Linked DNA regions of Tribolium castaneum. The protein of the gene in region 1 purifies or fractionates together with the protein of each later gene. This does not show direct contact. Links are inferred from orthologs where the notes say so. Each region holds a gene or a part of one and is shown in the gene's direction. Other genes may lie near its edges.

Region 1 (2,930 bases):
AACTTTGGAATATCCCGGAAATCCTGAAATTGAACCGAGAATCGTGGCAATCAAAAAACTGAAATCGTCAACTGTGTCTGCGTGTTTGCAAGACTTCGAACGGGAAATTAACATTATGAAGACTTTGCAGCACCGGAATATTGTTGAAATTTTGGGGGTTTCCCGGGAACCGGATATTTCCCTAGTCATGGAGTTCGTCCATCATGGCTCTTTGCAGAGTTATTTGAAAATCAATCGAGAGTCGTTGCAAATTAAACAGTTGTTGAAATTCGCGCTTGACATTGCTGAGGTTTGTGGCCTTATTATTTAACCAACTTATCAAATAACATTTTTTATTGACTAGGGAATGAATTATTTGGGCAAGAAAAACATCGTCCATCGGGACTTAGCCACCCGGAATATTTTGGTAGCTGACGAAAACCACGTCAAAATCTCCGACTTTGGCTTAGCGCAAGTCATTGGCACTAATGACTATTACATCTTGAAAACAAACCGGGAATTGCCGATTAAATGGTAATTAGCGAAAAATCACGACTTGAATTACTTTGGTCTTGTTAGGTACGCGCCTGAAAGTTTACGAGACGGCAAGTTTTCCGTGCGTTCCGACGTTTGGTCGTACGGTGTCACAATGTGCGAAATGTTCAACTGGGGCGAAGAGCCGAAATTGTCGAATCTGGGAGAGGAGGAAGTCAGAGGTCAAGAGCAGCAAGTTCTCTTGAACGCCTTGGAGAGCGGGGCCAGGTATTGGTCCGTTGCTGACTTCGTTGGTTTTATCGTTGCCTTTTATAGATTTCCGTGTCCTCCAATGTGCCCACAAGCTGTCTATATACGGATTATATATCCGTGTTGGCACGCGGACCCCCACGAGCGGCCCGCGTTTAGCGTCCTCGTCCAGGAAACGCAAGACCTGCTAACGCAGTATTGAGTGATATTCAGTGCCCATGCAAGGGTGAGCACAGGAAAGAGCACCACTTTGTATAATCTTTTGTATTAAGTTATTCACAAACGCCTATTTAAGATCAAGTGTTAGATTTTAGTTTAAATAAGTACCTGTCGTTTTTATTATTTGCTCAATTTATTTGGAACAAGCACTTCTCGTGCCATTTCTCAGTGCAATCAACTTGTAAATATGTATATTCTATATTTTAAAATAAATGTTAATTTAAGGTTTTTTGCATCATTTCGCTGGACCATTTGTCTCTTTGAACAAATGGCCATTCGGTTTAAAAAAATGCGTTAAAAGCCGCGAATTAATAGCGATAAACATTGAATAATGGTAATGAAAGTACAATTAAGCAGATTTATGGTGTTTTGGGGCGTTTTTTATTGTATTGATTGCGTTTTTCGAGGCGGTTTCGAACTAGTGGGACTAAGGAGTAATGGAACTTTCTAGATTTTGAATCAAATGACCAATGAGTTGTTCCTGTGCTGAATCAAATTGATTTAAAATTATTAGATAAACTGGCGTCAACCAGCAACGATAGCTGCAACAGAATGGACATAGATCCATCTCCGAGTACTTCATCCGGTAATAAATCCTTCTTATCAATATGTTTTTAGGTTATGTCAAAATTTTTGTGTTTGACTAACAGCCCGAGTTTCAGGCTTCTTAATGGATCTGACGTACTCAGGATTGCCAAGGATCGATGAAAACAACACCGTGGATCCCAAATCGCCCAAAGAGCGGGTTTTAGAACTGTTAGATATCTTAGAAAGTCATGTTGAGAAGTTGCGGAGGGAAGCGGCGCAGTTGGAGGAGGACCGGGACCACTTGTTGTCATCCCTGGACTCGGTTAGAAACACTGATTTAATAGTCGACTTACCGGATAGTAAGTATACCAAAAGTAAAAGTCGTTCGTAATTAATTATTTGTAAGATGATAGGGATGATGTTTGCCAGTACGCTGAGCGCATCATGAGCCGCTGCCTCACGGTGGAAGTGAAGATTTTAACTCAGCGTGATAAGATGCAAGAAGAAGCCTTGCACCAAGTGAATCATTTGATAGACAGTCTTGTAATGTGTGTGAAATCGGATCCTGAAAGTGCAAAAGCTAGATGTATAACCTTCATGAATGCTTGTTCTTCGAATGTGGTGCACGGGATCACGGATAAAAAGTTCGAATCGGCTTTGTTAGGATGTACCGTTGACGACCAAAAACGGGTAAAGAAACGGCTTCAAGGTTTGTTAAATTACTTTGATAAACTTAATGTAACTTCGATTCCATAAACTTACTTAATAGTGCGTTGTTATTGATTGTGGCCCGCTTATTGCCATTATATACACATTAAATCGTTAGTATTTAACCAATTGAGTTGTCTTCATTACGGCTTTAATACAACACAGTCGTGTTAACTTAAAATAGCCACTGTGATTGTTTAAAAGACACTTTATTTATAATTGATGAATTAAATAAAATTATTAATTCATGTATTACTTATTTCCGTGAAATAAAATACTTAGGGTCTCTTAGATGAGTCACTGTAAGCGCTTGTTTCAAATCTTCGCTTGTTGTTGGTGAATCTGCTATAAAAGTGACTGTTGTAACAAGAGAGTGTTGAATAAAACCGTTTTCAAGAAAGTGGCCTTTAATATCGTGCGGGTCCAACCAAACGAAAAGACTAGGGGCGTCGGCTTTCACCCACACGTGGAAGCGCAAGCCTTTCGCGTCAATCATATCAACTGAAATAATCTAAAACAAAGCTAAAGCTCTTATCGGTTAATCCCCCGGAAAAATTACCTCAACATTGGAGTTTTTAAGTTTAGCTTCCTTAAATTTTGAAGGGAAAAAGTAATTAGACGGGGTCAAAACTGTGCCGTCTTTCCCACCAACAATATGCACAAAGCAGTTGTATTTTGCTACATCTGCAGCGCCACACCCGGAATCGGACAAAAATTGGTCCACATCGTATGATGCAACTAGTCTTGCCACC
Region 2 (4,172 bases), on another chromosome or scaffold:
AAACATATTTTGTTGAATTCTGGATATATTTACGCTATCGCTGATCGAATATCGAGAGGCTTGCTATCTATTTATTTGCACCGACGATTTTTCAAAATTCGACATGATATTTTGTAAACATAGCTTTGTCGTAGCTTTGGGACTTAATCCAAAATGTGCTTCCGTTTATATTGTGACGTATTATGATTTAACAAAAATTAACGAAAATCGTAGATATACGTTAGAAAACACCGTGATATTTAAGGAGAAATCAGTATTTAAAGCGGTATTTACTAAAGACCAACGCTATTTTGAAATATGTTGTAATCACTTTAGTTAATAATAATGTCTCGATTTTTTGTTCAACGATTTTCTTTGTATTTTGCTTTATTTTTACATATTAGAATTCTTAAAATTAAAAATAAATAATTAAATAAATCGACACTGACTGTAGACATTTCGCCTATAAAACATAGTTCCATTGAACATATTTTTGTGTGGGCTACTGAATGTAATTCTTCGAAATTATGACTAATCGTTCTTCAATAAATAAAATACAAATATAAAATAATCTTCATCAAACACTAAAAGGGCAGTGATTTTTTGCTACTACTAAAAGTGTTTTTCTACAATTTGTTCAACCATTATTTCAAGAAACTTCCAATGATGATGATAAACAATCTAAAAAATTAAGAAGCGAACATTTTATGTTCATTTTACTTCAACTTGATATTTTTTATTGTGTGAAAATTTTAATTTTTTGTTAAGTTCGTGTTCTTATAGTATAAAGCAAGTTATTATTTCTACTCCTTAGGTAGTAATAATTGTTTAGAATGTTGGCGGCGACGGTGTTATTTTTACATGAACGAAGTATCGAATAGTAAATTCGTGACCTAGGCTAATAACTAGAACGGGGTAAAAATGAGGAACGTTCGAAGGGAAGCACGAATTGTGCGTTTGCGTGCTTGTGTCCTGTGAAAATGGCACGAAAGGTTAAGGAGTGCGTCATTTGCTTAAAGGATGTGACTTGGCGATGGTTAAGGGTTGATAAGAAGGTGTCAGTTTTTGAATAGACGCAGCGCGGAATTCAGGTCAAGTCGACTGTCCGACCTCCCGTCGGAGACAGGTTGGTCGGCCAAGCGTGATTCTGTTATTTTTGTTAATTTACGTTGTAGTCAAGTGAAGTGACTCTTGTTGGTTCTGCTGTTCTTTCATTTCGGATGGGATTTATTCCAGCCAGCAGTCGTCGAATGCAGCGCGCGCAAACTGTGACGTAGACCTTATTGCTATTGGTGTTCAGTGCCTCGTGACGTCATCAAGCTAACGATTACCGAGCCAGTCGAGTGTCTCTCCCCTGGCCCCGTTACCGTTGTCGTTGCGTTGATCGTCGGGTTCAGTTAGTTCTAGCGCAGCAGCAGTGTTTGGATGTGCTCAGAGTGTGTCCGCGACTATGTCGTAGTGTCCGTAGTGACAGTAGTTTGTTCCGCAAAAAGCAGTGACGGAAATAATCATTAGATGGTGAAGATGTCGGTCATGCAGATGCAGCAGGCGAAACGTCAGCATTGCTACTTGTGCGACCTGCCCAGGATGCCGTGGGCCATGGTCCATGACTTCTCCGAGCCCGTCTGTCGAGGGTGCGTCAACTACGAAGGCGCCGACAGGATCGAGATCGTCCTGGAGACGGCACGGCAGATGAAACGAGCCCATGGCTTCCAAGAGCAGCGCTCAGCTTCGCATAAGAGCCACCGGACGGCCGCCTCCAGCCATGAGCACCAGAACGGCGAAGTGGTGGCGACGTCCAGCCGACAACAACCCGCCACGCACCATTCGGGAACGTACAGCTTGCACCATCCGCGTTCCGGGATGTTGGCGGACTACCAAGCCCAGCAGCAGCCGCTGCCGCCCCGCGGAACGGCCATACCCAGACCGCAACAGATGGAGACCACACAGGAGCCTGAGGCGTTAGTTGCACGACCTACGGTCAGGCTGCCCACAGCCACGCACTTGGCCCATCACCAACTCCAGAGTCATCACCATTCGGCCAATGGCAGGCCCGGATTGCCGCAGCAGGGCTTGAAACGGGGCTTGTCCGCCGCTGATGATGATGATCATCACGGCTTGCATCACGCCAACGGCGATATGAATGGAGCTAAGAGGATGATGTCGGTGGAGGAGCACAGCAATGCGGTTCGACCTCCGCTGACTAGAGGCGAATCACTTCCGGCGGTTTCGCTGGCGCAACCGTTCGTCGTTTCGACGGAGAGGACCTTCAAGCAGGAGAAACATCCTCTCAGGACGGCTTCGTTCGACACCGCCACCGCCTTCAAACCCAATGGTGAGGATCAATCTATTATGAGGTGGTTAACTCCTTCCAAAAAGGAGACTCGCGTGACGTCACGCTATTCTGTACACGTAACGATGACGCTACACATCAACATAAATCGGCCGCTTTTCGAAAACAAACCTGGGGAAGCGTTTGACATTCAAAACGTTGGGCTTAAAGGGGAACGCGTTCCATCCGTCGTGATCCCGATTCTATGCGTTGCCTACGTAATGTTTATTTTGGAAAGCAGCGCTATAGCTAGCTGCATGTTGACACGTCCGCTCGGTCATAAAAATAAACCGAGCCCCTTTTTCGTCCAGTGATAAGAAAGGTGAACGGCTTCGAATTTCGAAATTCCATTGTGCAAAAGTTTGGCGTCTGTGTGTGTGTGCACACTGCACACGCTTTCACTAGTCGCAGAGTCAACCTTGTGACGTAAAAAAGCAGTCAACGAGCCAAATGGATTACGGATCTTGGGTTGTAGTCGAGAGCTACACGCACAAGACCGGTTGTCGGTCTGTCTCGTACGACCGGTTCTTATACCTGACTACGTCACTACATCGGCTTTCACAAACGAGGCATTCCCAGAAGATAAGATGCTTTTAATGGATGTTTACCTGGCCTAGCTCCGGCTCACTTGGCCCCCTTTTCTCTGTTTACCGTTGCGTTTCTGACACCGATCGGATTTCTTTTTTTACCCTCGGGTGGTACCGGTGGGAACCTCGGCCAAGGCGCTAGATTACCTAGCTCATATGCGTTCCCATTTCCTGGTAGACTGCAGTCCCAGTTACCCTTTCACGGGTAAATGATAACTGGGATGAAGCCATTACTTATAGGAACAATATTAAGTAGAATCCGTTAAATTAAACGCAGCAATAGGCTACAACAGTTAAATTGCAAATTTTTCTCGGTTCGTGTGGTAACTGGACGAGCAACAATATGTGTATGCTTACCTGCGACATGGAAATTTAATAAAATCGATCGGTTTCTCACAATAGAGTTCATTACTGATGCCTACCACACACGACGAGACCTGTTCGATAAATAATAATTGCTGCAAGAACGGCCGTATGGTATAAACCAGTCTAGCGTTCGGAGTGACCTTGGTTAGTTTCCCACGGATCAACCCTCGAGTTGCATCTGTCGATTGCAGAAAAGAAACGAAACCCGTCTTTCGACGTGGGTTTGATTCGTTTGTAATGTTAATTCGCGATAAAGACGTGAATCATGCCTTTGTTTTTGTTAATTAAAATCGGAATAAAACGACGAGTGACATTTCAAATTCATTAGGGGGTGACCTAACCGATTTCAGTTTTATGTCAAATCAATTGCTTTAAATCAGGTCGGACATAATAAAACGTGGGGCTTTTAATTGCTCATTGTTCTTAATAAATAAACTCTGTTATCTCAAATTGGCGTAACAATTGGTGTTTTGTTCATTCTGTCGTTATGTTTTTTTTTATTACTCTTTGTGTGCTTCCCACAAGAAAAATTCTTGCCAAGTTTCGAGTTTCTGAAGTTATTAGATCGGAAAAGACAGGTTTGCATGTCGATAATTAGAATACGATGCATTGCAACACACCTGTTCGCATGTCCATAGTAAATAAAACGAGTTTTAATAATATACTCGTCACGTGATGCGCCTTAATCTTGTTATGTAAATGTAACAGCGCATAGATATTACACGTCCCATCTGTCCCAGGTATATGCGGGTCTATCCACAATAATTAGGTTAAACAGTCCGTTGTCCTTGTGAAAGAAATCCTCTGTTCTTTCACGGACAGATGGTCGCATTTCCTTCCTGGCCATCTGTCTCGTGAGGAAATAGATAATAGTCTTGAAGGAACGGTATCAAACACCTGTACCGTCT
Region 3 (3,898 bases), on another chromosome or scaffold:
ATGGCCGAAGTAATGGAGTATATTTTTAAGTTGGAATAATTTTTTCATGATCAAATTAAATTATTGTGATATCTATATTAAGTTGCTACAATAAACACTATTTCATCGATTGTTCCTTTTTTTTGTTATTATGGAGCAAACAGACACCGTGTACTGTCTGTGCTAAGACTAATTTTCTTTCTCTGAGTACTGAATAGTTAGTCAAAAAACGTTACTAAAATTAGTACCGCACCTTACAATTTCTGCATAAGAATGCTTTATTTCACCTTTTGAAGCGTCAAAATGTTTAAATTAAAGCTATAATTAATACTCAACTAAAATGTGCACTTACCAAAGAAGGGTGGAAATATTCCTGCAAATGTTCCTCCTCTGAATAAGATTGTCTTTAAATAACGAGAAACAAACCCACTAACACCATAAATCCTTACTAATACACAAACTAAACACTAAAACAGCGTTAAACAAAAATAATGCTAAACTACAAAACATGACAGGTGCTAAAAGGCGCGCCGATATTGCAGCACTACCAACGTAACAGTGTAACAGAAGTACCAACACCAAAAAAGCGCGAATTTCAATAGTAAACAGCCTTCGGTTGAATATGTTTTAGTGTTTTTAGTTCAATTTAGTGCTAGACACAGTTCTACAGCGGTTAAAAATTACAGTGTGTTATGGTGTTAGTTCCAAAATTCAAATTTCACTTTAGTGCTCTAAGGCACTTATTTATATGTTGGAGAAGTACATTTTCAAAATTAGAAGTTCACAAACACCACCAATTATTGCCAATTATCAATGGCAACCGCACGATACATGAATGTTTTTCTAAATTTTTGGAAAAATATTAAAAAATTTATTGTTTTTTGTTTATTCTACGTAAGTAAAGGGTCTGCTTGTTGAAGTAACTAGTAGCTAAAAGTCTGTGAGTGGTTGTGCATCTTTTTTTTTGGGGATACCCTCACGTTAAAAATACAGACTGATCCAGAAATACTGAGTCTGTTGGCGACACTGGACTTAAATTTTTAAGGATACTAATGGAATACGCTTCCAGTTAACAACAATTTAACATTCTTGTGGGGTTGTACGTCAAATAGTTGTCAAGAAAAATCGAATTCGGTTGCAATGTTACAAATTACAAGCACAAACACTTTCAAATGTGTTGCCAACAGACTCAGTATTTCTGGATCAGTCTGTATTTTCGAACTTATAGAACTTCGGAACAAACAATCTATGCTCAACCGCGCCCTCTACAAATCATTCCGTCTATTTGACGTTTTAGTAGTGGCGTTAATTTGGGTGTATTTATAAAACAGAATTACACACAATAATCCATTACTTAGTTGCGTTTTTTAAGTACAAATTGCTTTGAATATCGCACAGCGATAATATAATATCAAGATTTTGCGGAAATTGTTTTCCCGAAAGCCACTGTTGTGCAATCGATTTTTACATATTTTCCGATTTACTAGTGAAGTAAAACAATAAAAACTTACATTAATGAGTGCAGTGTGAATATTTTACGCTATTGTCAAGTTTTTGCTGATTTAGGAAAAGAAATGGAATTATCCAGGTAACCTAACCTCACTTTTGGGCTTGTAGAGTAAGACGCATTTATTTTGTAGTTTATTGCCCGCCCCCATACAACCCGTATGGGATCGGGACGACGAGAGACGGCAACAGAATGCCACAACTCAACGTTCCACATCTGTTGTAACAGCCCAAAGCATTGCCCCACCGTATGGACAAAGAAGGGGTTGGGTCCCACGAGTCCACACCGACTATGGAGGTAATTAGCCACCGATTTTTTGTAATTAAATTTAACTACGATGGGACCAACTTTTTTGATTGGTCCTATTAAATTTTATTACAAATAATCAGTCAAGGACGTCGAAAAGTTTTCACTATCACTGATTTTATTGCAATTTATAGATGGAGGCGCATTTCCCGAAATCCACGTGGCCCAGTACCCTCTTGACATGGGGCGAAAGGGCAAAGAATCAACTTCAAACGCCTTGGCCGTCCAATTGGACGCAGAAGGCAAAGTCAAATACGACGTAATCGCACGTCAAGGCCACGGCAAAGACAAAATCGTCTATTCAAAACTCTCCGATTTGTTACCAGTTGAAGTAACCACAGAAAATGACCCAAGTCTTGCTAAACCATCTCAGGAGGAAATCGAAGATATCACAGAAAAAACCCGTCAAGCATTACAACGCCTAACAAATTCAAAAATCGCAGCTGCAATGCCAGTCAGATGTGCCGAAAAACAAGGCCCCGCTGAATTTATTCGTTACACCCCTTCACAACAAGGGGCCGCCTTCAACTCGGGTGCCAAACAGCGCGTCATTCGTTTGGTCGAAGCACAAGTTGATCCAATGGAGCCCCCACGTTTCAAGATCAATAAGAAGATCCCAAGGGGGCCCCCTTCGCCCCCAGCGCCCGTTTTGCACAGCCCCACACGTCGTGTCACTGTTAAGGAGCAAAAGGAGTGGAAAATCCCGCCCTGTATTTCAAATTGGAAAAATGCAAAGGGTTACACAGTTCCGTTAGATAAGCGTTTAGCTGCAGATGGTCGGGGGTTGCAACAGTTGCACATCAACGAGAATTTCGCAAAGTTGGCTGAGGCTCTATATATTGCCGATAGAAAAGCACGAGAGGCTGTGGAAACACGCGCCCAACTCGAGAAAAAACTAGCTCAGAAGGAAAAGGAACAAAAGGAGGAGCATTTGAGACAGTTGGCTCAAAAAGCTCGAGATGAACGTGCTGGGATCAAAGTCGCTGATGCTAAAATCACAGATGAGGAGGAACGTGAGAGAGAAATGCTGAGACAGGACCGGCATAAGGAGCGAGCAAGAGAGAGAAACTTGGCAAGGGCTGCTCCCGATAAGCGTTCAAAGTTGAAGAGGGAGCGAGAGCGAGATATTTCCGAGCAGATTGCTTTGGGGATGCCTGCCAGAGGAGTCTCCTCAAACGAGGTGCAGTTTGATCAGAGATTATTCGGACAGGCTCAAGGTTTGGGGCATGGATATGGGGACGATGACGCGTATAATGTTTATGATAAGCCGTGGAGGGAGGGGGGCTCAATGGCCAATCACTTGTACAGACCTAGTAGGAATGTGGATAAGGAGGTATACGGTGAAGATTTGGAGAAAATCGTCAAAACGAACCGATTTGTTCCGGATAAGGAGTTTAGTGGAACTGATCGGAATGCGCCAAGGTCTGGACCTGTACAATTTGAGAAAGAGGAAGATCCGTTCGGGTTAGATCAGTTCTTGAGTCAGGCTAAACGGGCGAGCAAACGCAAGGAACCGGAGAGGAGGGATGAGAGGGATAAGCGAAAGAGAAGAGATTAAAATATTGATTGTATTTGGGTTTTTTAAATAAATACAATTGTAGAAATTTTTTGTTGTATTATTGAGCAATGGCAGCGTTTGCTGCAATACTTGGGCTGTTGATGACTTCACCCAGACTCTCCAAGAGCTCTTTGCGGTAGTCGTCGAAGTCGCCGTCTAATTCGTTTATGGTCTGGTCTTCTATTACGTACAAGGCGCAATCAGTTTCACTGTAACAAAATTAGTAATTTTTTTTTACACAAAACAATAAAATTGAGTTTTATGGTCGAGCCGAAATTGTTACAAAAACTCGATGGAATTTCATCTTAATTTAAATTAACGAACAAATTAAGTAGCTAATGCAAATTAAAAATTAAATTCACTTCTAATAGTGCTGGTAAACGCATACTTCGCAGCCTGAAATTAGGACGAAAAATATAAAATTTCTATAAAGGGAGGCGAAAAAAGAAAAGAAAGAGTACATTTATTTGCTCTTACCGTATAAGTCGTTCGTCGTGGCTCACTATAATAACCCCTCCACTGAAGTCGTTAATGGCCTCAGCTAGTGC
Region 4 (4,017 bases), on another chromosome or scaffold:
TGCTCAAATTCTATTGCGATCATGGCTGTTAGACAACGTTGCCACATATCATTTATCTAAAATTAGTTATTTATCAATAACTTTAATACAAAAATTTTTTTTACTATGTACCATAAAAATCAAGTATTCCGTATTTAAAATTTCTTAATTAAAACGTGTTCTTTTTCAATTAATAGTGATATTTTAACAATTATTTTTAACTTTTGCTTATTTTTTGGTTAATGAGCTAACGAGAGATAAAGACAACATTTCCAAGGCTAATAAAATTTTACGTTTTTCAAAATTTTCAATTTTTTTAAGGTTCGATTAAATTAAGGTATACATGTGTTATACCATAGAACTCAGAAAAAATGCTCTTTTCAAAAATATTAATTTGACCCTTGTTGTTATTCAAAAAAATCAAGTTATCCTTGTATCCGAAGAACAAATGGAAATATAAATTTAATAAACATCTGAAACGATACAATTTATATACTCTTAAGCATATGCCCAATTTTAATAAATTTTGATTAATAGTTTTTATAATATTTAACTGTATCCATATTTCAGTGATCCTGTATAAATACTTATGGTATACTAATGTTTAGTTATACAATGTCATGTTGATACCAAACTTCAAAAGCTAGTAGCTCGCTTACGGTTAGTCATACAACAATAAGGCTAGGACCATTTTGTAGGAAATTTTATCTACTTTAATTTTGATAAGAAGATAAAAATTGCTAGGGGTGACCGTTTTCGAGATATAAGCAAAAAAAAACAAAAAAAACAGTTTGAACCCCTCCCTTTCCTCGAGCTTGCCCCCCCATCTTCGGGGACTTTTGGTATATGTCTGACGAAATGTAAAGGAAGCTTTTAAAAAAATTACTCTCTAGGAGTTTTTCCACCATTTTTGTCTAATTTGATTGGGCTATTTATCGCACATTGGGTTTAACTCTATTGTCCTCTTTAGCCTTAATGCTCTATCTGCCTATATTTAATTTTGTTTGCCTTGTTTTTATTTTTTCTGAAAACTGCGCACTCTGGTGACAATAACAGAACTATCGTGTACCGAGACAGGCAACCAACAATACACTATTTTTTTAATTTTGATTAAAAAACTATTTTCAATGAAATTACCGTTATGTACGTTCTTTCACTAGTAGAATAATGTAATTGAAACAATGTTACGCTTGATTAATTAATAAATTGTCTGAAAATGTCAAAAAATATATCCCTTTTGACAGATCGTGTGGTGGGGGAATCTTCAATGACTGGAAACTTCTCGAATAAGAATCGTCGAGAAACGTGTTTTTGTGATTATTAAGTGCCGGTCAAAATGGAACAAGTAAGTACACATTTATTTAATGCAAAAATCCTTTTACGATGTTTCGTTTAGGTCGCCGCTTTGAAAGACAAAGGCAATGCCGCACTGGCCGCCAACAAGTTCGAAGAGGCAATCAAACACTACACCGAAGCCATCAAACTCGACCCCTCGAACCACGTCCTGTACTCCAACCGTTCCGCCGCCTTTGCCAAAGCCAACAACCACGAATCGGCTCTCGAAGACGCCAACAAAACGGTCGAACTGAAGCCCGACTGGGCCAAGGGCTACTCGCGGAAGGGGGCTGCCTTGGCCTACCTGGGGCGCCTGGACGAGGCCATCGCCACGTACGAGCGCGGCTTGCAGATCGAGCCCGCCAACCCCCAGCTCCAGGAGGGGCTGCAGGAGGTCAAAGCCCAGAAAACAGCCAAGGGGTTCCCCAATCCTTTCAACCGACCTGACCTCATGGAGAAGCTTCGCGGGGACCCCCGGACCAAGCCCCTGCTCGATGACCCCAACTACGTCGCGACGCTCCACATGCTCAAAACAAACCCCAATCTCCTCGGCCAGAAACTACAAGACCCCAATATTTTGACCACGTTGAGTGTCTTGATTGGAATCGATCCGGGGGAAGAACCGATGGAGACCGAACCGGTGTACACGCCACCGAAGAAGCCCGAACCGAAGAAAGAACCCGAGCCGGACTTACCCGAGAACAAGAAACTGGCGAAAGCGGCGAAGGAACAAGGGAATGAATTTTACAAAAAGAAGAATTTTGAAAAAGCGATCGAGTTTTATAATCAGGCGATTGAACACGATCCCACCGATATCACGTTTTATAATAATTTGGCGGCGGTTTTTTTCGAACAGAAGGATTACGATCGATGTATTAAGGAGTGCGAGAGGGCTATTGATATAGGGAGGGAGAATAGAGCCGATTTTAAATTAATTGCAAAGTCGTTTCTTAGGATTGGGAATGCGTATAAGAGACTAAAGGATTATCAAAATGCGAAAATTTATTACGAAAAGTCAATGTCCGAACATAGGACGCCTGAAATTAAAACTCTGTTGTCCGATGTTGAGAAGATTATCAAAGAAGAGGAACGGAAAGCTTATGTTAATCCAGAATTAGCTGAAAAAGAGAAGGAAATTGGTAAGTTTTAATTTTCGATGGAAAACAAGTTGGTAAAATTGCATAATGTGTGGCTCTATTTATTGAGCAAGTGAACATGCTCAGGTTCCTTGTTAAAATGATCAATTTTTAAATAAAAACACGAATTTCAAAGTAATAAAAAAGTTTACTCAATTACCAAAAATTTTAAATAAAGAAACATCTATTAGCTGTTTCAAAACTATAAAAACACCAACCTCGCATTTTACTAAATTATTTTTAAAAATAAGGTTGATAAAACTGTAAAGTAATTATTAATAATTTGTCATTGAATCCACAAATTACATTATCTATTAACTTTTTGAAGTGCATGAATAATTTATGACAGTTAGTTTTTAAAGAAAATGCGACGTTGGCGTTTTTATAGTTTTGAAACAGTTAATACTTACATTTTTATTCATACAATTTAGAGCATTTACTTGCAAAATTTGAAGTAAAAGCTTTTACTTAATTTTATTCATACGGCCCTTTTTTTATCGGTTTTTATTTTTTCTTCAGCTGTCATTTCGAATTCGTAAGAAAAATCATTGCAAGTTCATATAAACGCGAACTATTTAATTAAAATTCTAATTATTAGAACATTTTTTGATTTTATTTTAGAAATTGTCACCAAAAACTAGAAAATGATTTAACAATTTCTTCACTTTTTACCGATTTCTATTGCTTCTTAGTTATATATATTTTTTGTAAAATTACGTAATTCTTGACTAATTTTACTTAAGAAAAAGTGGTTATGTAATTAACAAATTTAGATCAAATTTTTCTCTGAATGTAATTAAAAAAAATCACAAAGTAGCAAATTTTAAATAAAACAAATGTGCCAATCTTAATTGCAAGAGCAAATAGTTTTTATTTTATCTAAAAGGTTTTTATGTTTTCTTTAGCTGTTGTTACAAATTTGTAAGAAAAACCATTTAAATTCTGATAAACTCGAATTATGAAATTAAAATTTTGTATATTAGAACATTCTTAAATTTTATTTTAGAAATTACCACCAGGAATTTAGAAATTTGCCCAAACCTTTAAACGCTTGGTTTTAAATTAAAAAAAAAAGCGATTTAACAATTTATCTGCATTTTTGGCCGATTTTTGTTGCTTTTTAGTTGTATATATTTTTTTTATTACGTAATTCTTGGCAAATTTTTCTTAAGAAAAGTGTTGTGTAATTAATAAATTTACATCAAACTTTTCCTGCCCGTAAATTAAAAAAATAAACATAAAATAGCAAATTTAAATTAAAAAAATGTACCAATCTTAAACCCAAAAAATACTAATTATGGTATTGCCAACCCGATGGCTATTTGACACTTGATTACAAGAACAAATATCTTTATTTTATCCAAACGGTTTTTATTTTTTCTTCTCCTGTCACTTCCAATTTGTAAGAAAAATCGATTAAATTCGGATAAACGCGGATCATTTAATTAAAAATTTATTTATTAGAACATTTTAAAAAAGAAATTAAAAATTTTTTGAACAAATTATTAGAACGCTTGGTTTTAAAATTAGAAAATCATTTCTATTGCTCCTTAGTTAAAATTGCGAA
Region 5 (4,059 bases), on another chromosome or scaffold:
AGTCAAGGATACGAAATTTGAACCGGTTTTGGATTTTTACGTCTCGCAAAACATTATGGTCTTTAGTCCGCAACCGGAAGTAAAGAAATTGCTAAAAATCACGAAAAGGTTTCCCCAGCTTGTCTTACTAGGTATTGTATAATCCAGTTTTTGTTATTTTTAATTAATTATGCCTTTAGCTGCCATATTTGAGGGCAAATTTGTGAGTAAAGACGAATTAATTGAACTGGAAAAAATACCAAACTTGCAAACAGCTCAAGCAGCTTTGGTCCAAACACTCAACAGTGCAGCCACTACAATACATCAGCAGTTGAACCAACATCAAAGCACCCTTGTTTCACAACTCGAACAAAGAATAAAACAATTAGAATAGCTCAATAAATGTATTTCATAGATCATTTCTTTTTGCTTTTTTACCCTTTTTGCCTTTCCCTTTTTTCTTCCCTTTTTTACGTGGAGCGACGTCTGGTTGTACGCGGTGTTGGGCACATAGGGAAAAATTGGGCAAACACAAGAACCTGACCAAGGGCAGGTTTCTAAGATATAGTTTACAGAAATAAACCATATTGTTCTTAATTTGTTCCAAATTAAACAATTTGATACTATGTGGTGGGAACTAAAAATAATACAGTTTTTACCCACACTTGACCCCCATCACTTACTGGTAGAGAATGACACATTTGCAGTCCTTTAAAATACTCGTACAATTTTTCAGGACCAACATCCAAAACACTGGTGAAAAATAAATGAGTTAGGTAGAACTGTGACAACAAGGCCCCAGTTTGTTCCACGGTGTAACTGGCAGACGTGCAGAATTTAGTCACAGAGTACATCAACTCCCTGAATATGATCCGGGGAAGTCCCTTGGGCTTTTTGTGCAATTTTCCCTCTGCAACGAAAACTTGGCAAATTTTAAACGATTGTAATATTACTACCAATGAAATTCCTCTTGAGTCGTTTACTCTTAATGCCCATCAAGTGGATCACTTCAGGTTTTGTTAAATAATCCCAGGTGCAAATGTGTGGTTCCGCAGTTGGCAGTTTAACTCCTTTACAGGCCAAGTACTGGTCCGTTTGTGAGTCCGAAGTGTCGCTCTGAGTACTGTCGTCCTCTTGGCGCGTTACGAAGTAGTTTTTAATGTCGATTTCGTATTTGTTGGCGTTGAAGGCGATACTGTCAAACGCATTTCCATTCATTTCGTTTCAAAATTCCCGCGTTGGTGAAAATTTATCGATTGGTCACAAATTAGCTAGTGCGCATGCCCACAGTACGAATTTTGAATTCGGTGATGAATCGGTCTTACTCGTTTCACAACTTGTGCAAGATGGCAGATTTTGGGGAAGATGTTGTTATGGACTCTGAAGATTTGATAATTCCAAAAAATCCAGCCGAGTAAGTGCTATTTTACAACAATTAGATTTATTCCTCGATTTTGAGCACTGCTTTCGTGGGGTTTCACGTCGAAATGTCGATGACACGAGTGTCACTGACTCACATTTGTTACTGCAATTTCCCACAATTAATTGCTATTGATTCGGTTATTTCAGTGAACCACTTGGTGCGATTTTAAATTTGATTTGTGCAGTCTTAACGATTTCCGTGGGTTATTTTTAATCTAAGGTCGTACACCTTTGTAATTACTGGTTCACTCCTCCACAGTTCAGTGTTTATATTTGGTCCGGCGTGCAAATTAACAATTTAACCTTTTGTTTGGACAGTTATTTTATTTATAACGTGGATTTTATGGCCTTTGCATTATTTCTCCTAACTTGTCACTGTGACACTTTCGCGGTTTTTACCAATTTGTAACGAGAAAGACCATGGAAGTTGAGGATTGCCACAATATGTGAGTGTTGTTTTTGAATTTGTTTACCTCATAAATGGGCATAAGAACTGTAAGGTTCTCACTTTTAAATTGGATTATCTTTGTTGTTTATTAACGACAAATGTAACCTACCGAAGGAATAAACATTGACCACACGAGTGTTGGTTTTTGATAAGATAAAAACAATGTGATTTATTTACAAACTCTATTTGTGACTATGATTGTGATCAAAGTTGAAGAGAACCCAATTCAAAAAACCCTAATCTGGATGTGTAACGAATTTTTATCCACTAAGGTTTTTATTTCGTCAGAATATTACGACTTTGAGGTCCATGCTATAAGTTTTAAAGGGCTGTTAAAATTTAATCCACCCTAAAATCAGAAATCTAGCAATTTTATTGGTTGTTGCTATAGTAACAACGATTTATGGCCCTTAAATTTTCACAGTTTAGCATGTTAATTGGCTAGTTTGTTCTATATTTTTGCTTAGTCACGAATGAAAATCAGATCAATTCATTGATTAAATATTTACTAAATTAGAAAAACAAAAGTTAATATTTTCTTCTAATGAAGTATCGTTTCAAATCGCATGAAATTAGGGTAATATTGGTAGGTAGGTCATTTACTGGTTCACGTGTAGATATTGTTTCTGCAATATTGTTTGTTGCTCCTTGTCTCGGAGATTAGTGAATTAGCCCAGTTAAATTAAACAAAGAAATTCTTAGAGAGTTGGATTTTTTTAAAGCATTCTTTACACTTGGGTAGAATTATATCAAAAGTTCCCGAGGGTGGGGAGTGAGCTTGAGGAGGGGGAGGGGGTTAAAGAAGTATTTTTTGTTTTTTTTTTGTCTCGGAAACGGTTACTCCTATCAACTTTTATCTTCTTACCAAAATTAAAACTGATAAAATTTCCCATTTAATTTATCTTTAAAAAATATTTTTTTCTCATGTTTCTTATGGAAATCTCCAAGTAATTATTCAATTGGTTGGATTTAAATTAATTGAAAACGAATACCGTACTATTTTTTTGGGTTCAGAAAATCGTACGATTTTGTATCTCGTTTCGTCTCCTAAGTTATAGTTCTTCGTATTTCAGCTTTAACTTTTTTCCTAATGCCTCAAGTCCTTTCTATCCTACTTAATTATTTAAGATATTTTGTATTCAGACCCCGCACTAGGTAAAATAATATTTTATTCTTTGTCTTATGGCAAACTACTACCAAACTAAAACGGACAGAAGAAAATGAGAGAAAAAGTTTACAGTAGAGTAAGCTTTTTATGTTTGTTTGGGTCGTTATTTTTAATTGTTTTTAATAGGTTGTTAACATCGTTAGTTACTCAGCCAAATTCTTATTAAATTTGATAAGTTGGTAGTTATGTGAACTTCCGTTATATCATTGTTAATATTCGTTTTTTCCCCAGTTCTTTCCTATAATTTTCTGTCTTCATAGCGTGATTCACTCCATTAAAAGGCAATTTTCACTCATTCTGGTCACACTTAAGTTGCGTTGTTCCTGTGAAAGCCGTGCTTGTTTCAGGCTTGCCGAATTGAAAAAAGAAAATGGCAATCAATTATACAAAGTCAAGCAATACCGATCTGCCCTCAATCTCTACACCGAAGCCATCGAACTATGCCCCGAAACCGCCGCCTATTACTCGAACCGCTCGGCATGTTACATGATGTTGAACAACTTTCAAGAAGCATTGGAGGATGCACGCAAATCCATAACCATCGATCCCGCATTCAGCAAAGGCTACATTCGAATATTGAAATGCGCTATAGCCCTTGGCGACCTTACAACAGCAGAAAATGCCATCAAACAGATCAATCTGCTTGACAAGAACGCCAACATCAACAATGAAACTCGTTCGTTCGAAAAACTGAGACAGTTCGAAACAGAGGCAGCAAAAGCAATGGAAAAGAAAGACTTCCGAAAAGTTGTTTACTGCATGGATAGGTGTTTGGATGAAGCGCCAACTTGCACACGTTACAAAATAATGAAAGCCGAATGTTTGGCTTTCTTGGGACGATACCAGGAGTCGCAAGAAATCGCCAACACGGCCTTGCATTTGGACAAAACAAACGCTGATGCGATTTACGTACGGGGAATGTGTCTTTATTACGAAGATAATTTGGACAGCGCCTTTAACCACTTCCAGCAAGTCTTGCGACTTGCACCCGACCACAAAAAGGCTATGGACATCTACAAGAGAGCTAAAGAACTCAAAAAGA
Region 6 (4,294 bases), on another chromosome or scaffold:
CAATTCATCAATGCCTTTGTACATTTTAATCAACTCTTTAACCCTCAAAGGCAAGCCGTAGAAAGGCCCAACTTCGGTAAACGTACCATTTTCTTCCCCAATCGTCTCACTTTTGGCTTTTTTCACCGGTATTACGTCTTTAGTAATGTTTGATAAAAGCACTTGCTTTAAGGCCGTAGCAAAACTCGCATTAATTCCAGACATTGTAATATCATTCTCATTCTCATTATTTTTATCCGATTCTTGTTCCACTTTTTGCGTCCCGAAAAGTCCTTCCAAAATTTTCGAAATGTCTTTATCGACAGACTCAACATCTGAGCCCATTACGCTGACCGAATGTTCGATTTGGTCGAAAAATGACTCCAATTCGTCGCGATTATTTTCATTTAAAACGTCTCCCAAATTCTCGCTTATTTTTGCACCCCAATTTTTCTCGCGCAAAATTGTGCTGTTCGTGTTACTCTCACTTATTATGGTCTCAATCTGGTTCAAGGCTTGACTGTTCTCAAACAGTTGAGTTAATTGAGTCAGTAATGGTTTTTTTGGTGATTCGTTTGGGTCATTTTTTGATCTGAGAGACAGTGGTGTTTTTTGTGAAGCATCAACAACTTTATGTAAGGAATTGTCGCTGGCTGAGCGCGTTGAAAGTGCCGTACTTTTATTAGTTTTATCATTTAGTAGCTGAGTTAGATCAATATTATCAAATAAATCGTCATCAAGTGAACATTCCTCCAGTTTGCATTTCTTATCAGCGGCTATTTTTGCCTCGTTAGACAACCTTTTTTTAGTCCCGGTTTTGCAACCACTATGATTTTCCGGAGGTTTCTCACTTTGTACTGTAAAAAAATTATTCATGATGTATAATTGGTTGCACAATCGGTAGAAAAAATTATTGAAATTATTTTATCAATTAGAGGCGCTAATTCCATAATATAGACAAACGTAGAAACGCGTTGGGATATTAGTTATTACCTTTTTTATTTTTTGAAAGCGAGAGCACAGAGAACTTTTGACTTTTGTTTTGGGATAATTGTCCTCGGGGTGCTTGAGGAACTAGGAACTCTTCATTGTTGGGCTCTGTAGAAACTAAAATGACTATTATGGTAATCTGAATACAAATACAAAACCTGGAGGTATTCTTTTGTGGGGTTGCTTCAAGCTGTTCATTTTATCACCCTGAATATTAACCAATAACACTTTCACAAAATTAGTAATTTATCAAATTGCACCTCTATTGCTACATTTATCTATTTTATTTAAACCATTTAAATATAAAATATTAAACACAAAACTGCAAATAAAACAAATTTTCGAAATATAACTTTTGACAGACAAATCTTGAACTTGACAATTGTTTCTTTTGCGCCGAGACGAACACGAGCCAATCACTGTAATTAATGCTACATGCTACAATGCTACTTTTGTAGTAGCATTGGGTTAGTAGATATTGTATCGTCTTTAAATTTTATTTATTTCAATAAATATTAATCATTAATTATTTAATCAGACTTTGGCGCTTGCTCGAATTCGCGCAATGTCAAACTGTAAATGTCAAAGAAATTTTAAAAGTCGTTCACAAAAATTCAACCTTGCTAAATATCCAAAAACGGGAAGATTATAAACACTCAACACATCCGTGCATTACATTAGGTATGTGTGGTTACAATTAACACGAATTCGTTGTAAATTACATATTTGAGCCAAGAGGTGGAATGTTCTAGAACTGATCATCGGTGGTGTTCTAGCACTTCAGAGTGGTTCAAGTGGTTGTGTATTTCCCTTGTGATCCTTATGGTCAACCAGTTGCATTTTAATTACAGTAACCCGCCCATTATGGAAAATGAAGATAGTGAAACGGCCGACAGTGAGGAGGTCAAGTCACGGGCCGTTGTGAAGTATTCCGTTCCAAAACCGGCCCAATTCATTCGATTAAAATGTAACACCGACTTAAACCTACCCCCTTCAAATTGGTTGAGTAGTTCGGCCGATTCTTACGGCTTACAGCACGTTCTCTACCACCAGAAGGGATTTTCAAGGTTAGCTCTTGTCTTAAATTGTTCACTTGAGAAGTTTTCTATAGTTTCAGAATGGCCCACATGTTCCCTGACTGTGTGGGAGAAGTAGATGTGGTTTCGGATGCGGAAAACATAAAAAACCTGCTTAAAATACCCTACTGCAAAAACCACATCAGTATGATGGTTCACAGAGTTGAAAACACTCTCCTACTTGATGATTTTGATATTTACAAACATTTATTGAGAACCTCCGAAACTGAATGGAAGTGGCTCAAAGAGTTCTTTTTCGAAAATGTCAACCATGAGACTTACGAAGAGGACAAGAATATGTACATTAAAAATCGAAGACGGGAAACCTTACAACAGAAAAGTCTAGTTTCGAAATTTCTGTATCATAGTTTGGCCGAAGGTGATACTAATGAAAATACGTGTTATGAGGACCCGAAAACCCTTCCTGTACCTTTACACGGACCCCAATTGCCTGAACCTGTCTCCGCAACACCCGATCCCAAGCCCTTTGATCACAATTACAACAGAAATGTTGTTTGGACTTTTGAGGACATTGAAATGTTAATAGGTACGGTATTTTTGTAATTTTGCATTTTCCTTGAATCAAATTTTTTTATATTTTTCCAGGTACGGATTTACCGATATTCGGTGGTGGCACCCACCCTTGCATCTCACTCCGTCTTCGAGACGTCAGTAAACCAATCAACGTGCTAACAGGCATCGATTATTGGCTAGACAATTTAATGTCAAACGTTCCCGAAGTCGTAATGTGTTACCACTTGAACGGCATCGTCCAAAAATACGAACTTATCAAAACCGAAGACTTACCCCGCTTAGATAATTCAAAATTTTCCCCTAAATTAATTCGAGACGTTGCTCAAAGCATTTTATCGTTTCTTAAGTCAAACGCGACCAAAGCCGGCCACACTTATTGGCTATTCAAGGGAAAAGACGAAGAGGTTGTGAAATTATACGACTTGACCTCACTTTGCTCAGAGAAAGATGTGGAAAATGGTCAAAATCCCTTCACTATACCTGTGGGTATGTTATTATACCGAGTAGCGCGTAATATGAAACATACATCGGATCGGCAACCCGGAACAATCCGGATGTTGCTTAAAAACTGTGTTAAGTTGCTACCGGAGGAAAAATACCCAGAAGTGGTCACGTCCTCGCACTATATGTTGGCCGATTTGTACGTCCCGGCAGGGACCAATCCCGAAGCGCCTGGTTTAGAGCAGGAAGTGGACGAAAATGATGAGTTTGACGATGACGATTTGATCGACGATAAAGACGATAAAGCTACGAAAATTCTCGTCTTGGATCAGAGTGATTCTAGGGAGAAATTTGTTAATTATTACAAGTCGCCACCGCCGATTACGGGAACTGTGGAAGAGCGGTGTCTACAAGCTGTACAGCATGTGGCAACCGGGCTTAATTGCTTGCAATACTTCCAACAACACCAAACTAGTGCTAGTGGTAAAAAAACAGCCGAAGAGGAGGAAGTTCCTGTTGCCAAGCCTTTTGAACCGATTCCAATGCCGTACGGGAAGCTTGATTCAAATGATGGTCAAAAGAAACAAAAAAAGAAAGACAAAAAAAAGAAGAACGAGAAAAAGAGTGAAAATGCCCTACTTTTGAAAAACAACACTCAGCCTTTGCCGACTTGGCAAAACGGGACGGGAAATATCTCATGGAAGGACCATCTCAAGACTTTACTTTATGAAAAAGCGGTCTTGGTTTATGCAATTTTGTCGGAACAACATTTCGGTGGCCGAAATTACGGTAACAGTTTGAGGACGATTGGTTTGTTGGCTAGATGTCAGTTGGTGATGAACCGCCTCCTTTACAATTCCAACGCCTTGAAGGAGAATTGTTTGCTGGGCAGAGCCGGCGATTGTTGCATTATGATGATCCAAAACTGGGATAAAGTCGATAGTTACCGCCAGCAATTCCAAAACAATTCCGAGGAAGATTTAAAATTGATGGAACAGCTCGAAAAAGACGAGCAATTGTACAACATCCACATCGGCGAGTCGAACATGAAGTGCGTTTTCATTTACGATATTCGCACAATCGAGCAAATTCTTCTCAAAGGTGTGGAGTGTTACGAAGTGGCGTTAAAATCAAGCGAAAATGATAGTATTTTACGGCGGTTGGGTAACGGTTTAAATGAAGTCGCCTCGTTTTATTTGAATAAAGCCAAGTCGGCTAAAACGAGCGATCTTACTGTGGAAATGTGCAAAAAAGCTGAACCGTACTTAACGAGA
Region 7 (3,029 bases), on another chromosome or scaffold:
AAATTGGACTAAATACTCGTGAGGCGGTTATGACGACATAATTGAAATTGAAATAATTTAACTTAAAGCGCGGATATAGAAAATCGGTTTTCGTTATTGTATAAGTAAAGGTAATAAGCAGTTCTAGCACTATAATTTGAGACAAAACTGTTACTTAAGTTGCCAATGCTTTTAAACTAATAGACAGCTGGATAATAATTGGAGGAGAAACAAGATCAAAAATAAGTCAATTTTCTGTGCTCAAAAGCTTCGGGTTTCGAATTTAAATTGTTTTAAAGATCTAGGTTTTTTTGGGTTAGACCTGTTTTAATTTGGAAATCAGTGTCGACATTGTCCTGAAGATGCCCCTCCTGAAGAGCGGGTGAAACGTCGACGCTGGGTTTCAAATTAACGCGGTCTAACCCAATTCTTTATTTGGTACTAGCCGCGAAAGCTTGTGTTAAATTGGTTTAAATTCAACTAGTTCACTAATTACTTGGAAAAAAAGGCAGGAACATTGGGCATCAAATTCTTAATACGAGTAAGTTGACCAAAATTTTCATAAAAAACATGAGAAAAAAAATTAAAGTTGCTTCTGTCTCAAACTTTTCAAAACGTTGCGAATATGGTGAAAGATACAAGAAAAATATAGGAAAGAAATTATTAAATTTAAATAAGTTGACTTTTCATGAGCCTTAGCTTTTAAATAAATTTGACACTTTACGAAATTCAGTATAATAACTAATTACAAAAATACAGACTTGAACCGAGCGTTTTGTGCCTTAACTATGTACGTACCTTATGGAAAAAACAACTTCTTAGTCCTTCATCAACTACTTTAAAAATGTGATCATTTTTCAAGAATAAAATTTTTCGAAATTATTTTTAGTTTTCGAGTTATTAAAAAACAATTTTAAATGGCACCCTACTACCGCGATTTTTTTGGTAAGATACCTTGATAAGTAGGCCGCTTGGGTCCGTGCTTTTCCCAAATCTGTATACATTTACTTCTCTCTTGCCCTTTTTTTGCGTTTTTTTTTTCATATCGTACTCAGTTAATTACATCAATGTTTAAGCTCCCCTCGATTTTCTTAGAGAGTGTATAATTTGTAATGAATTTGCACATTTGCTTTAAAATTCCGGCCTGTACTACTAAAATGACTAATTTTGGCATTTTCCGACTAAAATCTGCGGTTTTTCTAACTCTAGCCTCTTTTTTACCCTCTTAGAGCAGGTCCACAACGATTCTGAGGACTCGTCTGTTAGCTTTTTCTCCTTGTTGTAGCCCCCATTCATTGTGGCATTTTTTTCTAGATAAGAAACGTCGTATGTACGACCAGTACGGTAAAGAAGGGCTCATCAACGGCGGTAGTCGTAGTCGCAGCCGCCACGATGACGAATTCGACTTTGGCGGTTTCGGTTTCTTCACTTTCAGAGATCCGGAGGACGTTTTCAGGGAGTTTTTCGGGGGTTCTACTCTTGCCGACTTGTTTGGAGGTACGTCCTAAGATTGTTTTGTATTTTTTGTTAAGTTTGAGTCGTAGATTTTCACGATCACGGGCATAGAGACCGGCGACGGAACAGACATTCACATCCACAGAATGCTCTCAGTTCGAGTCTGTTCAGCCCGTTCGGGGTGAGTCTGGGGGGTAGTTTCATGGACGAGTTTTTCAATACGGGCCATGGGGGATTCACCTCCTTCAGCACCATAAATAGTACGTTTACAAACGGGGCGGGGGGCACGGCCAACGTCAAGAGGACGTCAACGTCGACGCGCTTCGCCAACGGGAAGAAAATCACCACGAAGAAGTGAGTAGTGGATTTTTGGTGGTATTTTGAAGGTGATTTTGCGGTTTCAGGGTGTACGAGAACGGGAGAGAGACGGTGATGACGTACGAGAACGATATCCTCAAATCGAAGACTGTGAATGGGGTTCCTCAGAGTCTGACGTACAGTTAAACACACTGCTACTTACAAAATTAGAAGAATCTACAATTTATGTGATCTTGATGTTGATCGATTTCTGGCCACGCAGTGTTGCCAAATTGTCAGTGTGTGTATTAAAGACTTCTTGCAACTGGTTTCAAGTTTTTTTTATTCAGTTGTACAATAAAATATTATGATTCTGTTTTCAGAATTTTTGTAGTATCTTAATTTTTAATAAGATGTTATGATGATGTAAGAATCGAGGAGGTTTTTACATCATTGCAGTTTAGGTTAGCTAGAGATAGGAATTGATGACGCTCTTGAACGAGAGGTGCTCAGGATGAGTTGTTTAGTTACTAGTTACATTTTTGTCATGTGAAAAAGTTCGGTTTTCGTTTTGTTTTTGCCAAGACTGCTCATTTTTTATTAAGCTTGATTCAAAGGAGGAATTAACATGGAAGAGATATTTTGTATTATGCAACGTTTTAATTTTAATTTAATATTAATTTGCTAGTTTTTTCCCAAGCACTTACTATTACTGTTAAGTACACAAATGATTATACTATTAATGTGTGCTTAGAGATGTACAGTCACAGTGTTAGAAAAAATATAATATAAACGATTTCCGCATTTTTTATTTTAATCCCACCAAAACAGACAGCTGGAAAACAGAGTTCTCACCCAAATGGGACCTTTACAGTCCAATAGAACACCACTGTGTCCATCCGAATTGGCTATCTACAGTTTACAACTTCGTTTATTAGTAGTGCCGAGTTTTTCGAATTGTTGATTTTTTGTGTAAAAATATTACGTTTCAAAAAATCGTGTTTCTCTAAACATATCGCTGTCGAAAATTAACTACTCTTGTTAGAATTTCGAAATGTAGAAAACCAGAGTGGTAATATTAAAAATTTCACCACGTTCTTGTACTTATTGCCTTTAGAAGTCTATAGATAATAATTTTTTAGTGAAAACATCAGGTCTATTCATTCAATGGTTTTGGAAATATCAATATTTAAGATTTAGTTAAAGTTGTTTTTTATCGTCTGTTTGATTGATTGATAACTGATAACTAATTCGGTATTTAGGGAATGCAGACACACTTTAATTTGGTAAATTGTTTA

Evidence for each region.
Region 2: the proteins of BAG family molecular chaperone regulator 2 (region 1) and interferon regulatory factor 2-binding protein 2 purify together in Homo sapiens (affinity purification with mass spectrometry; 3 studies listed by BioGRID and IntAct, with this or other methods). This does not show direct contact. The link is inferred for Tribolium castaneum from reciprocal best matches to the Homo sapiens genes BAG2 and IRF2BP2.
Region 3: the proteins of BAG family molecular chaperone regulator 2 (region 1) and Bx42 purify together in Homo sapiens (affinity purification with mass spectrometry; 3 studies listed by BioGRID and IntAct, with this or other methods). This does not show direct contact. The link is inferred for Tribolium castaneum from reciprocal best matches to the Homo sapiens genes BAG2 and SNW1.
Region 4: the proteins of BAG family molecular chaperone regulator 2 (region 1) and Stip1 purify together in Homo sapiens (affinity purification with mass spectrometry; 3 studies listed by BioGRID and IntAct, with this or other methods). This does not show direct contact. The link is inferred for Tribolium castaneum from reciprocal best matches to the Homo sapiens genes BAG2 and STIP1.
Region 5: the proteins of BAG family molecular chaperone regulator 2 (region 1) and Tpr2 purify together in Homo sapiens (affinity purification with mass spectrometry; 7 studies listed by BioGRID and IntAct, with this or other methods). This does not show direct contact. The link is inferred for Tribolium castaneum from reciprocal best matches to the Homo sapiens genes BAG2 and DNAJC7.
Region 6: the proteins of BAG family molecular chaperone regulator 2 (region 1) and erythroid differentiation-related factor 1 purify together in Homo sapiens (affinity purification with mass spectrometry; 3 studies listed by BioGRID and IntAct, with this or other methods). This does not show direct contact. The link is inferred for Tribolium castaneum from reciprocal best matches to the Homo sapiens genes BAG2 and EDRF1.
Region 7: the proteins of BAG family molecular chaperone regulator 2 (region 1) and mrj purify together in Homo sapiens (affinity purification with mass spectrometry; 4 studies listed by BioGRID and IntAct, with this or other methods). This does not show direct contact. The link is inferred for Tribolium castaneum from reciprocal best matches to the Homo sapiens genes BAG2 and DNAJB6.

What each region holds. Positions count from the first base shown.
Region 1 is NC_087396.1:11,144,974-11,147,903, reverse strand, and holds BAG family molecular chaperone regulator 2, read left to right. Parts: upstream 1-1,312; 5' UTR 1,313-1,494; coding exon 1,495-1,528; intron 1,529-1,604; coding exon 1,605-1,829; intron 1,830-1,876; coding exon 1,877-2,226; 3' UTR 2,227-2,430; downstream 2,431-2,930. Other genes in the region: hop (tyrosine-protein kinase hopscotch), read left to right, coding at 1-289, 344-513, 559-741, 790-925; beta-mannosidase, read right to left, coding at 2,435-2,689, 2,738-2,930. UniProt on the Homo sapiens protein: Co-chaperone for HSP70 and HSC70 chaperone proteins. Acts as a nucleotide-exchange factor (NEF) promoting the release of ADP from the HSP70 and HSC70 proteins thereby triggering client/substrate protein release.
Region 2 is NC_087402.1:6,594,834-6,599,005, reverse strand, and holds the start of interferon regulatory factor 2-binding protein 2, read left to right. Parts: upstream 1-1,372; 5' UTR 1,373-1,494; coding exon 1,495-2,314; intron 2,315-4,172. UniProt on the Homo sapiens protein: Acts as a transcriptional corepressor in a IRF2-dependent manner; this repression is not mediated by histone deacetylase activities. Represses the NFAT1-dependent transactivation of NFAT-responsive promoters.
Region 3 is NC_087397.1:9,848,808-9,852,705, reverse strand, and holds Bx42 (puff-specific protein Bx42), read left to right. Parts: upstream 1-1,245; 5' UTR 1,246-1,553; coding exon 1,554-1,567; intron 1,568-1,619; coding exon 1,620-1,783; intron 1,784-1,926; coding exon 1,927-3,350; 3' UTR 3,351-3,398; downstream 3,399-3,898. Other genes in the region: qm (terpene synthase), read left to right, coding at 1-39; ATP-binding cassette sub-family F member 1, read right to left, coding at 3,409-3,559, 3,828-3,898. UniProt on the Homo sapiens protein: Involved in pre-mRNA splicing as component of the spliceosome. As a component of the minor spliceosome, involved in the splicing of U12-type introns in pre-mRNAs.
Region 4 is NC_087395.1:1,458,302-1,462,318, reverse strand, and holds the start of Stip1 (stress-induced-phosphoprotein 1), read left to right. Parts: upstream 1-1,217; 5' UTR 1,218-1,315; coding exon 1,316-1,324; intron 1,325-1,375; coding exon 1,376-2,453; intron 2,454-4,017. UniProt on the Homo sapiens protein: Acts as a co-chaperone for HSP90AA1. Mediates the association of the molecular chaperones HSPA8/HSC70 and HSP90.
Region 5 is NC_087398.1:7,331,344-7,335,402, reverse strand, and holds the start of Tpr2 (dnaJ homolog subfamily C member 7), read left to right. Parts: upstream 1-1,259; coding exon 1,260-1,393; intron 1,394-1,709; exon of another isoform or gene 1,710-1,821; coding exon of another isoform or gene 1,822-1,847; intron 1,848-3,364; coding exon 3,365-4,059. Other genes in the region: mRpL10 (large ribosomal subunit protein uL10m), read left to right, coding at 1-131, 180-373; uncharacterized protein LOC103313090, read right to left, coding at 389-616, 663-889, 936-1,197. UniProt on the Homo sapiens protein: Acts as a co-chaperone regulating the molecular chaperones HSP70 and HSP90 in folding of steroid receptors, such as the glucocorticoid receptor and the progesterone receptor.
Region 6 is NC_087397.1:550,043-554,336, forward strand, and holds the start of erythroid differentiation-related factor 1, read left to right. Parts: upstream 1-1,494; 5' UTR 1,495-1,650; intron 1,651-1,820; 5' UTR 1,821-1,833; coding exon 1,834-2,036; intron 2,037-2,080; coding exon 2,081-2,592; intron 2,593-2,651; coding exon 2,652-4,294. Other genes in the region: mus301 (helicase POLQ-like), read right to left, coding at 1-836, 973-1,086, 1,128-1,167. UniProt on the Homo sapiens protein: Transcription factor involved in erythroid differentiation. Involved in transcriptional activation of the globin gene.
Region 7 is NC_087395.1:20,017,595-20,020,623, forward strand, and holds the end of mrj (dnaJ homolog subfamily B member 6), read left to right. Parts: intron 1-1,293; coding exon 1,294-1,476; intron 1,477-1,523; coding exon 1,524-1,788; intron 1,789-1,838; coding exon 1,839-1,938; 3' UTR 1,939-2,529; downstream 2,530-3,029. UniProt on the Homo sapiens protein: Has a stimulatory effect on the ATPase activity of HSP70 in a dose-dependent and time-dependent manner and hence acts as a co-chaperone of HSP70. Plays an indispensable role in the organization of KRT8/KRT18 filaments.